3 linked regions of the Tribolium castaneum genome follow. The protein of the gene in region 1 purifies or fractionates together with the protein of each later gene. This does not show direct contact. Links are inferred from orthologs where the notes say so. Each region holds a gene or a part of one and is shown on either strand. Other genes may lie near its edges. The genes, in order: Hsp83, PpD3 and activator of 90 kDa heat shock protein ATPase homolog 1.

Evidence for each region.
Region 2: the proteins of Hsp83 (region 1) and PpD3 fractionate together in Caenorhabditis elegans (co-fractionation; 3 studies listed by BioGRID). This does not show direct contact. The link is inferred for Tribolium castaneum from reciprocal best matches to the Caenorhabditis elegans genes hsp-90 and pph-5.
Region 3: the proteins of Hsp83 (region 1) and activator of 90 kDa heat shock protein ATPase homolog 1 fractionate together in Caenorhabditis elegans (co-fractionation; 3 studies listed by BioGRID, with this or other methods). This does not show direct contact. The link is inferred for Tribolium castaneum from reciprocal best matches to the Caenorhabditis elegans genes hsp-90 and ahsa-1.

Annotation. Positions count from the first base shown.
Region 1 is NC_087398.1:3,475,405-3,480,247, forward strand, and holds Hsp83 (heat shock protein 90), read right to left. Parts: upstream 3,109-4,843; 5' UTR 3,001-3,108; intron 2,663-3,000; coding exon 497-2,662; 3' UTR 320-496; downstream 1-319. Other genes in the region: GPI transamidase component PIG-S, read right to left, coding at 1-89, 138-183. UniProt on the Caenorhabditis elegans protein: Molecular chaperone that promotes the maturation, structural maintenance and proper regulation of specific target proteins involved for instance in cell cycle control and signal transduction. Undergoes a functional cycle that is linked to its ATPase activity.
Region 2 is NC_087396.1:11,944,235-11,948,899, forward strand, and holds PpD3 (serine/threonine-protein phosphatase 5), read right to left. Parts: upstream 3,247-4,665; 5' UTR 3,146-3,246; coding exon 3,052-3,145; intron 2,886-3,051; coding exon 2,644-2,885; intron 2,595-2,643; coding exon 2,447-2,594; intron 2,400-2,446; coding exon 2,278-2,399; intron 2,231-2,277; coding exon 1,960-2,230; intron 1,910-1,959; coding exon 1,767-1,909; intron 1,433-1,766; coding exon 1,125-1,432; intron 1,080-1,124; coding exon 998-1,079; intron 948-997; coding exon 888-947; 3' UTR 682-887; downstream 1-681. Other genes in the region: claspin, read right to left, coding at 1-29, 77-487; Gnpat (dihydroxyacetone phosphate acyltransferase), read right to left, coding at 3,384-3,460, 3,510-3,571, 3,619-3,788, 3,836-3,997, 4,177-4,256, 4,337-4,665.
Region 3 is NC_087397.1:10,675,425-10,679,411, forward strand, and holds activator of 90 kDa heat shock protein ATPase homolog 1, read right to left. Parts: upstream 2,573-3,987; 5' UTR 2,340-2,572; intron 2,284-2,339; exon of another isoform or gene 2,268-2,283; 5' UTR 2,219-2,267; coding exon 1,862-2,218; intron 1,737-1,861; coding exon 1,206-1,736; intron 1,155-1,205; coding exon 1,020-1,154; 3' UTR 865-1,019; downstream 1-864. Other genes in the region: uncharacterized protein LOC103315037, read right to left, coding at 1-98, 185-222, 273-456, 507-558.

The sequences.
Region 1 (4,843 bases):
GGTGTACCACCAGACCGGGATTCCGATCACTACGAGGACGATGAAGTAAGAGAGGACGTTGTAAATGCGATAAATGCATTCCGGATCGTCTAGAAACGCAAAATTGGACTAAAAGTCTCACTTTGGGAGCGTGTTACCTGTAGGGGCCGGCTTTTGGCTCTTGTGTTTTTCGTCCGGTTCCATTTTTAAGGTTAAGATTCACTCAAACATCTGTCAAATGTGTCACGTGACTTGATTTTGCGAAGCCAAGCCCAATTTGTGATGGATTTTTTGCTTTTCAACAATTATTTGTTAAAGGCGTTCAAATAAAACCAAGAAATTAATTAAATCAATTTTATTCACAAAAAACGAACTCAGACTTTTACAGGTGTTAACACGGCGGCGGTAGGCCGCCAAAATAATACTTCATTTTTTATAAAAATAATTAAGAAATATAAAAAAACACTAGGAATGACAATTAGAACATACTAGAACACATGTCCTAACATTCGAACACTTAATCAACTTCCTCCATCCTCGACGCGTCCTCGGACTCGGCGGCATCAGCAGAGGGTGCATCGCCTCCTTGTGCATCTTCGGTGATCATGGCTTCCTCCTCATCAATACCCAGACCCAGCTTGATCATCCTGTAGATCCTGGATGCGTGGACTTGAGGCTCATCCAAGGTGAACCCAGAGCTGAGTAAAGCGGTTTCAAACAAAAGAATAACCAAGTCTTTAACAGCCTTGTCATTCTTATCAGCCTCAGCCTTCTGCCTCAAATTCTCGATGATTGAATGGTCGGGGTTGATTTCGAGGTGTTTCTTGGCCGCCATGTAGCCCATAGTGGAGGTGTCTCTCAAAGCTTGGGCTTTCATGATACGTTCCATGTTGGCGGTCCAGCCATACTGCGACGTAACAATACAGCAGGGAGATTCGACTAGACGGTTCGATACCACGACCTTCTCAACCTTATTATCGAGGATACTCTTCATAACCTTGCAAAGTCCTTCAAATTTGGCTTTGTCTTCTTCGCGCTTCTTCTTCTCTTCTTCGTCTTCAGGCAATTCGAGACCTTCCTTTGTGACCGAAACGAGAGTTTTGCCGTCGAATTCTTTCATTTGTTGTACGACGTATTCATCAATGGGCTCAGTCATGTAAACGACCTCGAAACCGCGCTTCTTGACCCTCTCAACGAACGACGAATTCGCCACTTGCTCCTTGCTTTCGCCAGTAATGTAATAAATGTGTTTCTGGTTAGGCTTGATGCGGCTCACGTAGTCCTTCAAAGAGCAAGCCTCATCGCCACTTGCAGAAGTGTGATAACGGAGCAATTCGGACAATTTGGCCCGGTTTTGCGAGTCTTCATGAATACCCAATTTAATATTCTTCGAGAACTGTTCGTAGAATTTCTTGTAGCCGTCCTTATCCTCGGCCAACTCCTCGAACAACTCTAGGCATTTCTTGACCAAATTCTTACGAATGACCTTCAAGATCTTATTTTGTTGCAACATCTCACGGGAAATGTTCAAAGGCAAGTCTTCCGAATCGACGACACCCTTGATAAAGTTCAAATATTCGGGGATGAGTTCTTCGCAGTTGTCCATAATGAAAACCCTCCTCACGTATAATTTAATATTATTCTTGCGCTTCTTATTTTCGAAAAGATCGAATGGAACGCGACGTGGGACAAAGAGGAGGGCACGGAACTCCAATTGACCCTCAACACTAAAGTGTTTGACGGCCAAATGGTCCTCCCAATCATTAGTCAACGATTTGTAAAACTCTCCGTATTCTTCCTGACTGATATCGTCAGCGTTTCTTGTCCAAATCGGCTTGGTTTTGTTCAATTCTTCATCTTCTGTGTATTTCTCCTTAATAGTCTTCTTCTTTTTCTTATCTTCCTTCTTCGTGTCTTCATCTTCGTCCTCGCCTACATCCTCAATCTTTGGCTTATCTTTATCCTTGTCTTCGCCTTCTTCCTCCTTCTTCTCTTCTTCGGCCTCATCGTCGCTCAACTCCTTCTCGCGTTCCTTCTCCACGACCAATTTGATGGGATAGCCAATGAACTGCGAGTGTTTCTTTACAATTTCTTTAATTTTGTGTTCTTCCAAAAATTCGGTTTGGTCCTCTTTCATGTGAAGGACAATCTTGGTGCCACGGCCCAAAGGCTCGCCACGGTCTTGTGTTACAGTGAAGCTACCACCAGCTGACGACTCCCAAACGTATTGCTCATCATCGTTATTCTTCGAAACGACTGTGACCTTGTCTGCTACCAAGTAAGCCGAGTAGAAACCAACACCGAATTGACCGATCATGCTGATGTCAGCCCCAGCTTGGAGGGCCTCCATGAAGGCTTTGGTGCCGGACTTGGCGATGGTGCCCAAGTTATTGACCAAATCGGCTTTAGTCATCCCGATCCCGGTGTCAATAATGGTCAAGGTCCCGTCATTCTTGTTAGGGATGATCTTGATGTAGAGTTCTTTGCCTGAATCGAGTCTGGAAGGGTTGGTCAAGGACTCGTAACGGATTTTATCCAACGCATCTGACGAATTGGAAATCAACTCCCGAAGGAAAATTTCCTTGTTCGAGTAGAAGGTGTTGATGATCAGACTCATCAACTGGGCGATTTCCGCCTGGAAGGCGAAGGTTTCCACATCTCCATTTTGGTTTTCTTCCGGCATCTGCAATTAAATTCGACCTTGAAATTTCACCGAACTCATGAATCACTAAAAAATGACTAATCGGACACCGAACAACGTGGAAAAGTCCGGAAAATTTGATTAAATTTCGTAGCAATGTCAAAGACCGCTCTGAATAACCTTGGCAGAAAACCACACAAAAAACGGGAAAACTCTAAAACGGTCTTCAAATTCGAAAAAATAGTCAAAGGATTAATAAACTCGTCTCAAATAACCGCAGCCTAGCGAAAAACGTACGATTTCCCAGACTTGGGGGTCAAACACCGGCGTGACATAACCTTGACTGAAAACGGCCGGAAAATCGGAAAATTTGCACCTACCTTGCTTAAATTAATGCACACACGAACAAATCACTTGAAAATTGCTTTGGGAAAATTATCACTTGGAAAATTTGTCGCTTCTTAGCTCTTCACTTAGCGCTTGCTTTTTCAACTCTGAGCGATTCGTGTTTGTTCGGTTGCTTTTATAGCCTTCTGCGTTCTAGATTATTCGAGAAGAATCTAGACGCTTTCCGACGCTTCGAAACCTTCCATAGACAAGGACAGAACATGAGTTGCTTCCGCTAAATCGGGCGCGAAATTCGAAATCTGCAATACCGTTATTGATTTTTCTAGAAAAATCCGTTTTATTTGTGTTATAGTTTATAATTTATTACGTCAGGATTATAGGGTAAATAAACTACGATCTTCTCAACAGGACCTTTTAATTTTACTTTACTCTACAAAAGCCAGTTACAGACTAACTTATTTTCTAAAAATCCAGACATTCGGCATTCATCTTTAACACATGTTTCCCATCTTTCACACTCGCCCTAAAAGCCCTCACACACACTAACCATTCGGACCTCCCAAGCATCCCTTACAATTCTACGAATTCATATCAACTCGGCCTTTCCTGACAATGTTCTCGTCCTCGAGAACACATCCCAACCATCTAATCACTCATTCCCCTAATGACACTTACCATAACTTAAAATAACGAAACTAAACACTCTACTTATGTCCCCAAATTTTTCTAATAATAAAATTCCGATAAAAATTTAACATTACCCTTAACACTTGTACAACCTACTTTATCTTAATTATTACTCCTCTAAATTACTAACTAATTTTAATCTGTCTACAGAAATAATTCCTTTATAGAAGCGACTACTTTGTTGTTCGCCTTCTATATCTTGCACTAAATATCTATCATTCCCTATAAATTTAACAATCTCATAGGGTCCTCGATACTTAGGGCTCAATTTACGACTTTGGCCGGTCGACGGTACCTCAGCCCGTACCAACACCAAATCCCCTTGCTTGAAAACCCTAGCCTGACGCCGCGATTTATTAAAATTCGCGCACATACGATCCGCATTTCTTTTCAGCCGATCCGCAACTAAATTTTGCTCTTCTTCCGTATTTAAGCGTGTATTTAAATCGCGTATTTCGGCTGCTAACGGATTATTAGTGAACCCGTCTCGCGTGTATGTCCGGACCAAACTAAAAGGCGTTCTTTTAGTGACCGAATGGGTTGCATTATTAATAGCCCATTGTACTTCGCTTAATTTTTCGTCCCAATCACTACCTTCTATGTCATCCGTACTTGTACTTAAGCATGTTATTATCACGTCGTTTACTTTCTCCACTTGTCCATTCGATCTAGGACTTGCTGTTGCAATTTTTACGTGTTGGATTTCACAATCACCGCAAAATTTTTCGAACAACTTCGAAATGAACGCTGTACCTCTGTCGCTAATTATTTTATTGGGCTTTCCATAATTAGAAACGAATTCTTTCAAAAAACTAAGAGTTCCCTCGGCTCCTACATCCGGCAGCGCTTTTAATACTGTGTACTTACTAAAGCCGTCTATAATAGCGCATACGTATTTGTTTCCTGTTTTACTTGACGGAAAAGGGCCCAAATGGTCGATATGCACCACCTGAAACGGAGTACTGCCTTTGTCTAACGGGTGCAGCATTCCCGGTTGCCTCCCGCGCGGTGTCTTACTATACAAACAGTTAATGCATCGATTGATATATTTTCCTACCTCTTCCCGCATTTTTGGAAAATAGTAGCTCTCTTTTATTTTGTCCAACGTTTTATCTATTCCCAAATGCATAAGTTCTCTATGAGCGTTACTAATTATATCAAATCTTAAATCGACAGGTACATACAATC
Region 2 (4,665 bases), on another chromosome or scaffold:
TCAGAATCATATAAAGAATAACGCGATTTCTGAAACAATTATTTTAAATAATTAGGCGAACATGTACTAGTACTACTTGGGCGTTCGTGGGACCATTTTCTGGGACCAATTTGCCTTTGCTGTTGGTAGTGTAAATTAGGGCCTCAACTGCGGTTGCTTCATCCGGAAAGCTCTTATTGTGAGGCGTAATTTCTTCTTCTTCTATCACCGATTCATTATGGTCTTTTTCTTCGTCTGAGTCGCTGTTTATTCTTGATATTCTTTTTAATTTCTTTTTAGCAACGTCGGAATTAGCAATGGAAGTTTTTTCCTCGTCATCTGAGGGCTCTGCCAATGCTGGGGGCGCCTTCTCGTTCAAATCATTTTCTTCAGCTTCTGAGTCGCTATCAATAACATTGTGCTTTTTTCGTACTTTGTTCACGTTCAGTGTATTCATTTCGTTTTCATCTTCTGAATGTTCACTTAATTTATCTTCTGTTATTTCCATTTTTTAAAGAGAAACATTAACCTAACTTGACACAACAAACTTTTTCGCGCGCTTAGTTTGACACGCAGCTCGCCAACCCAATAAACAGAAATCACCAAGCTTTCTGAGCGCCAGAATTCAAAACTTGTGTGTAGTGGGAACTTTCTGGTCCGCTACATTAGTGCTGATCGTGGTGATTAAATAAAAGACGTGTAAAAAGTGTAGTAGAATTTTTATTGCTATTGTATAAGTCACAATGAAGGAAACTTGGTAATAAATAAATATTTTATTTACTTTAAGTCTAGAGGTATCTTTTCGATTATGATACAAAATTAAATAACAGAAACAATAAAAACTCATTTTAATACAAAAAAATAAAAGTGATGAAATGCCTACGTTAACTACATTAAAAAGGCAGGTACTAGCACATTAAACTTAGTAAAGAGTGTGCGTACGCCATTGGTTTTACGTTTGGATGGGGCTGGAAGAACAAAAATGTAGGTTTTAAATTAAAAAATGTACAACACATACCACTGCTTCATATGTAGTAAACTTAGGCTCCATATCTTTTCCTTTTAATGTAATAAAAGCACCTTGATTACCCATGGTATCACTAAAAAAATAATTAAGAAAAACATTTTTTCGAAAATTAATTTACCAATAGTTAGGAGCGGAAAACACAGTGATACATTTTCCATCATGAGCGACTTCGTATCCGTTATTTTTCACTTCATGACTTCTAATGATGTAATCCAGTTTATTTAATTCCAAAAACCTCTTCGTAACATCTGGTCCAAATTGACATCCAACTCCTCTTTTACTGGGCGCGCGTCCATTCTGAGTCTGAGGGTCTGACCAAAGCAGCTCACACATGGGGCCGTCTTCGGGGGGCTGTCTGTTGCGGTCAATTTTACTAATTTCACTTAAGGTAACATCGTCAGTCGAAAACAGACCGCCATGCATCACCTATAAATTTTTCTCATAGCAATAGTTGCCAGAAATTTCGTCAAATACAAAGCTCCAAAATCGCAAATTTTACCAAAAATGGTTTGAATTTGCCTTATTGGGGTGTTTAAGCTTGTATTTTATTTAAAAACTAAAGGTTATTTTGAAAAATTTCCCTAAAACCATTTGAGAAAAGTCAGAAGCCAATTATTTTGTAAAATTTCGTTAAAAATGAGGCAATAAGATCACCAAATTATGTCTAAAGTTCGGTTATTTAAGCTTATCCTGAGTTATTTCACGAGATTTTTTAAACCAAACCATCGAAATAGTCCAAGTTTTTTTTAATATCACTTACAAGAACTCTTTTATTCAAACAGTGAGCTAGTGGTAACCAGTTGTAAACCTCAGTGAAAAGTTCAGCCATTTGAGCGGTGTATTTAGCCTTGACCTCGCCATCGAAACCATACATTTGGTTCATTGTAGCGCTTTCGTGATTTCCTGTGTAAAGAAAATAAAATAATAATAGTCCAAAAGGTGCGTAATTATACCTCTGGACATGAAAAAGTGATTCGGATACAACAGTTTAAACCCAAAAAGGGTAAAAATACATTCAACAGAAAATGAACCTCTGTCAACAAAGTCTCCATTGAAGAGGTAGGGATTTGTTTCAGACGGTAAACCGTTCAAGTTAAAAATGTTCATAAGGTCGTAGAATTGACCATGGACATCACCACAAACAGTAAACTTATCCTCATCACCAATCTCAACATCAATCAGTGACGGCTGTTTCATAAAATACGCCTTAACATCCAACAAAATCTAAAATAAAAAATTAACACGTCTTGAATCAAAGGGCGAAGTGTTACTTTGTAGGCGTATTTCCTGTGCAGCTTGCCTTGATTCTTGTACAATTCCATTAAATCCTTCATGAATTTTAAAGTCACTTTTCCATCCTCAAGCTCAGGCCCCGTGTACTCGTTCTCTATTGCTGTGAAAACATTCACAAATGTGTTTTCCCCCCAAATAAAAACTTACTCATTGCATCTAAATTAATAGTACTGGCGATATTCTTTTTGGTATCTTCGACCGAAATGGCCTTCTCGAAGGCCAATTTCTTCACTATTTTGTTACACTCCGTATATTTGGACTTGGCGTCTTTGTCATTAGGTCTCACTTTTGTCACCTAGGGCCAATTTAGGGCTACAATGTGCCACAAAGGGGCCGCAACTTACATATTCGTAGTCCTTCAGGGCCTCCTTAAACTTGCCCAAGCTCATGTGGGCCGCCGCCCGCCTGTAAAACCCCTTAACGTAGCCTTTGTCCAGCTCAATTGCCTTCGAAGCATCGGCTAAAGCGTAGCCGAAGCACTCAGTTTTCAAGTAGGCAAAACTGCGATTCCCGTAATAGATCGCAACATTCGGATTTGCTTCGATTGCTTTAGTGTAAAGTTCTATAGCGGCGTTGTAATTTTGTTCTGAAATTGAGGAAAAAAAGTGGGGTTATGTCAAATTCACGCCGGAATTTGCGAAATTCTCGCAGCGAATTCGAGCGGAATCGCGAAATACGGCTAAATGAATTGAGTATGAGGTTGTTATTTTGCAAATCATGTGGGTTTTGAGTAAATAACGAGGGGAACTTACTTTTAAAGTACTCGTTCGCTTCGGCTTTGTAGCGCTCGCCGGCTTCAACTAGTTCGGGGGTAATAACACAGTTTTCTTTAACTTCTGTGTTCATTTTTATTTAATTTTGTACCTTAGTTTTAGAAATTGGATGAAAAAGTCTTTAAAATCCCTTCATTACTTATCAAGGTAAAAAAATAGAGGATTTGTGTTTGCGCTGGAGTTGCCAACATAAACACGCCCGCCATATTCAAACAACTGCCATTACTCAAAACAATTTATTAAAAATCACACCAAAATACTCAATTTTAACACCTTTGGCTTGGTTTTAACATAAAAACAGTCATTAGCTTTTAAAGCTTATTTTTTAAGTGGAGCTGAACACTTTCGAATTTCTCTTGGAGCACCTGTGCCGGAGTCACATATTGCTCTGAAAATATACACACTTAGGGCAAATACACATAAATGGCCAAACTCACCTAATCTATTTTTAATAAATAATACTTTAGTATCATTAATTTCATAAGTAACACTGCCGCTCCTAGAACAATCAATTAATTTCGAAGAAAAAAACAATAAAACCCGTACTTTCTACTTTTTGTCAAAACATTTTGACCCGCAAGCGCATTCAAACAATTGGTAATTGTGTCCAAACTTAAGGAATAAGGATGGATAAATCCTTTACCTTCATTTATCTTTATTTCAATTTCTTCCTGAACTTTGGCCAAAATTGTTTTCTCTTCAATAACACGTGATAACTGTAATAATAGTTTATAAAAAATGCAGCACAAGTTAAGTAATTTACCTCCAAAATAACCGAACACACCACAAAATAAGTAAAAATAAAACAATCAATACAGTTATAAATAATTTCTTCCAACTGTTTATTTTCACCGAGATCATATAATTCTTGGTTTCTGCTCAATAAATTTAAATCGACCGCATGTGCTAACGCTGAAGTGAATTCCTAAAAGAAATAACTCACTGGTGAAGCTGCAATATTAAAAAATAAAACTACAGTGTAACCTCTCTAAGCCGAACAAAGCCAAGAGTTTTAAAAAATAACAAAAACGAGAAATTCAAATGTAGAAAGACAAAGTTCGGATCGTAGAGGTTCCACTGTATCGAAAAGAAAAACCCACACACCATTTTTTCCCTGGTGTTAAAAGTAACAAACTCCTGGGACAACAGAGACCTCAGAAAGTGATAATTCGCAAAAAGTTCATCTGTACAGAAAGAATGCAATTACCCACATGCTATTTAGTGGAAGATTCTAACTACAATTTTAACTCAACTCAAAAATTACCTTGACTTTGGGCCCTTTGGTGTTTTACGATCAGTACTAAGACGGCCAAGTCCACGAAATAATGCAAAGTCGGGTTAATATAAATTTGTAAGAGCATAAACGGAACCGAAAACGTGATTGTCTTTTCTGAGAGTTCGTGAGCTTTCAATTTGGATACATTGACTTTGCCCACAACGATTTCATCCCAGACCAGAGTGACTTTTCCTTCCTCATTAACTCTGACGAAATTGTTGTGGACTTCTAAAGCCTCTAGCACGCATTTTCTTGGGTCATCCATGAAGACGTAAGCTCCGAACTTTTCAATGACTTTTTTCAGCCCCAAAATCTCG
Region 3 (3,987 bases), on another chromosome or scaffold:
CAACAACTCAGCTTTGACAATGCGTGATTCCATGTTGCGTAGTTTTTGGCACACGGAATCGATGTATGCGTCTTGGAGGAGGCTGGCTGTTGCCTTATCTGCATAAACAATTAAAATCAAGTTAGGTTGGCGACACTGACATTGTTTTTATTCAGGCTTGCAAACTTAGTTCAGTGGTACTCACTTGCATAATTAATCTTGCAAATGTCAATGAAAAAGTACCTAAAAACCACAATTATGGGCGAACAAGTGTTTTTGTAACCTTTTCATACTTGTCAGGATCACTTGATTCCAACAAGAATGAGAGAGGGATCAGGACCTCGTCATCACGTCGCAGTTTGATTACTTTGTTATCCTCAGGCCCTATCTCACAAATGTCGTGAATTTCCTTCTTCAAAGCATTGTATTCCAAATCTGGACTGACTTCCATTATTTTTTCAGTAATTTCAGGGAGTCCTAAATTAATTTGTAACGAACGCTTACAAACTAATTTTTTACCTACTTACCAGTCTCGTATCTGCGGATTTTTAATTTAATTGTGACTTTATTTGAATTCATTTTTTTTCAAAAACCAAAATTAATTCACAAGTGACAGTGCGGAAGAGTCACGTGGTATCACAAAATCAATACAACAGTAACTTTTGGAATTAGAGGTTGGTGCAAGAATTATTTAATAGAATAGATAAAATTAGGAAAACACACTTGGCTGATGTGTTGGAAATGATATTGCGCCCCCTTTTTTTCTAGCAAGTCATAATACTCATAATTCACAAGAAAGAATTTACTTTTGTGTAGATTCGGTTTACGTTGGCAACGTTCATAGCTGCCTGCGTAATGTATTAGCGCAGCGTTTGAATAAAACAGTGGTGTTCAAATTTTATTCGTCCTCACAGTAATTTTACAAATATGTTGTAACAAAATGTTGAAGCTTTTCAAATAAATTAAGTATACACTATGCTGTAAAAAGTGGCTGGTTCGTAACTATAAAAATAATTGGTTCTAATAATGTACAATTAACATTAAACAATGAATGCTCCAAAACCAAACGCCCGCTTCATGGAGTCCCAGTAGTACCTCTGCCAGTTTTCCTTAGTAACTTCTGCTTCACCTGTTGGTACGCCTGATTGTACCACATTGACTTCAGTGTGATCACTCTAAAAAAATAAAATAAGAAAAAACAATAAAACCAGAAATCATCGAAATACCTTTTCATTAATATTGAAAGTTACAGTTGAATAGTGGCCCTCAGGCCACTGTTTATACCTCCACTGTTGCACGATTTTTTTCCCTGGTACCAACTCATCAAACTGCCCAACAATATTTCCGTTGAATAATTCGAATTTACCGCCTTTAGAAGCATCCATTTTTACATGTGCCCTGGTAAACGCCGTCACCATTTCGATTTTTGTCAAAGCATCGTAAAATTCTTGCGCCCGACATTGAAACTGTTGAGTTATGTTTATCGTTGTTACGTCTAGTTTAAGTCCGATTTGTTTGTTATTTTCGCTGACGACTGGTGTCATGCTGATTTTTTTGTTAAAACCACTCGAAAGATTTTTGACCGCGTCTGGTTTGACCTCATCTTTTTTCGGCAAAATCATGCCTTTGGAAAATTCTTCTTTTAAACTCGAAATGTATTTGGTGAGTTGGTGTCGGACGACATCTTTGCAGGATTTCAACATAATTTCCTTCAGCTTGTCGCCCTCCTCGTCCGAATCTTTCACAGAAACCTTGATCTGCACAAAAAATGTATCAGGTCAAAGTAAGCTACGACTTTGAAATTAAGTTGGCAACATCAATCACCAGATAGTACAGCGTTGCCAACACAATTTCAAATAAGAAAAGATAGAATATCACTTACATCCAGCTCTGAGACATCATTTTCCTCGGAAAGGTTGGGTATTTTCACCTTGCCTGAGTAGCTTTTGCTCCCATTTTTCAACTTTCCAGTCCACTTAATGCTCAAATCCCACTCGTAAAAAAATATGAGCTTGCCTTTCCTATTATTAGCAGAAGCCTCCCCTTCACATTTATCTATCTCTGTGAACTGAATGTCTGCTAAGTCAGTTTTTACTGGCACACCTTTAAATAACTCTTTTATGCGTTCCACTGACCAAGGACCGGCATTTTTTTCCGTCCAGTGCCAGTTGTTGACATTTGTTGCGTCTGGTCGTTCTTCCACAATCCATCGTGGGTCACCCTCGCCCCATTTGGCCATTGTGTTTTTAGGTTAAGTGTAGAAAAAGACGAAAAAAAGGTGATCTCGCCTGTTATACACTCAAACTAGAGTTTCCGCACAGAAAAATAAGCAAATTTGGGCGAAATAATTAATGATTTACCTGTAAACTGCAGGTATAATAAAATGAGCGCCTTTTCCCAGTGAGTACAATTCGGTAAATTAAAAAATTAATGAATGGAACTGCTCTCGATTCACAAGACACACGAAGCCTCCAGTAATGCACTTTGACGAATGTTCTATCAATTTCAAGTCTTCTTTTCTATAAGTGTGAAGATTTTTCTAGAATTTCTTCACCATCGGAATTTAGCGAATGGCAAATTGTCAATTTTAGTTTCAGAAAATTTGAGCAGATGGCAGAAATGTGAATTACACACTTGTGTATTTTGTGTTGTCTATACTAATTCCACAATTGCTTAATTTCAATTTTTTTTTAAGTTAAAAGATATTTAAAAAAAACGAAAAAACAAAACAACAAATAATTTGTGTTTTATATAAAAAAATTAAAAAAAATTATAACGCCAAAAAAACACTAATTACGATCATTCTTTTGGAAAAAATGCTGATGGTCAGCATCAGCAATTTTCTATACTTCTTAAATTTTGTTACTACTAAACTAATTATCATTCTTATATTAAGAAGCAAAAATGCAAACGAAAAAATCACAAGCTTGTTCGGGACAAAATCTCAATACATCTACTTTTGAGTTATAATTAAATTATGATTTACCTAATTATTATAAGTCAAAAGAATTTTACTAATTACACAGGCCGAGATGACTTTTGGTGCTTCCAATAATATTGTTGTTATTTCTTACTAATTGGTGATGTTGATAATAAATCCACCACCACTTTTTCTGAATCACATCAAGTTTTCGAAAAAATCTACATAGCAGTAATTATTACTTATTTCAAAAAATGAAATAAATCCATTTGGTTTTTGCACCTTTACTGAGAATTTTACCAACTCTCCTTAGAGACACATGCTAGTTACAACAGCATAACATCCACGCGAAACCCTGTGGAATGAGAATATAATACTGTTGGTCCATAAAAAAAATACTTCCAGGCGTATTTTTTTTTTTGAACAGCGAATGAGGTATCACTCGAAATATATGTCACCTAATATTTGAAAATAATATTTTTCCCGAAAATGTTTTGTAAACATTTTAAACCTTTTTTTTAATATCTGAATTATTTATATCTAGATTATAAACACTATTTTAAATTTTGTTTCCCATATCAACGTGTTTTAAATTTAATATAAAAACACGCTTTCCACAGCAACGTGATTTAAATTTTATTGAAAACACGTTTAAATTTAAAATTAAAAAAATTAAAACAAAAAAAAATAATTTAATACAAAAAACATTTTGAATAACACTTATGCGAAAACACTTAAAGTTCTTGGGTGTCTAAAACTTTAAGCTTGTGGTTGCGCACTTGTATTATTAATAACAATAACTATAAAAAAATTATAATATATTTTTTTATTTATGAACAATATCTTAAAGAAACTGTGGCTACTACTGAATTCAGGTCACACGAGCTGTACAAAAACACCTTTCAAAAATAAAAAAATCGCTTACAAAATTTTGTTAGTTATTTATCAGTTATCACTTATCATCATCCAAAAATATTATTTCTAAAAAATTAATCTAAACAAGAATTTTTTCTTAAGTTTATTGAAACAAAAGGTACTAGTTCGCTTTAGACGTCACTACGTCAGCTGTAGTTAGAAACTCTAATTTC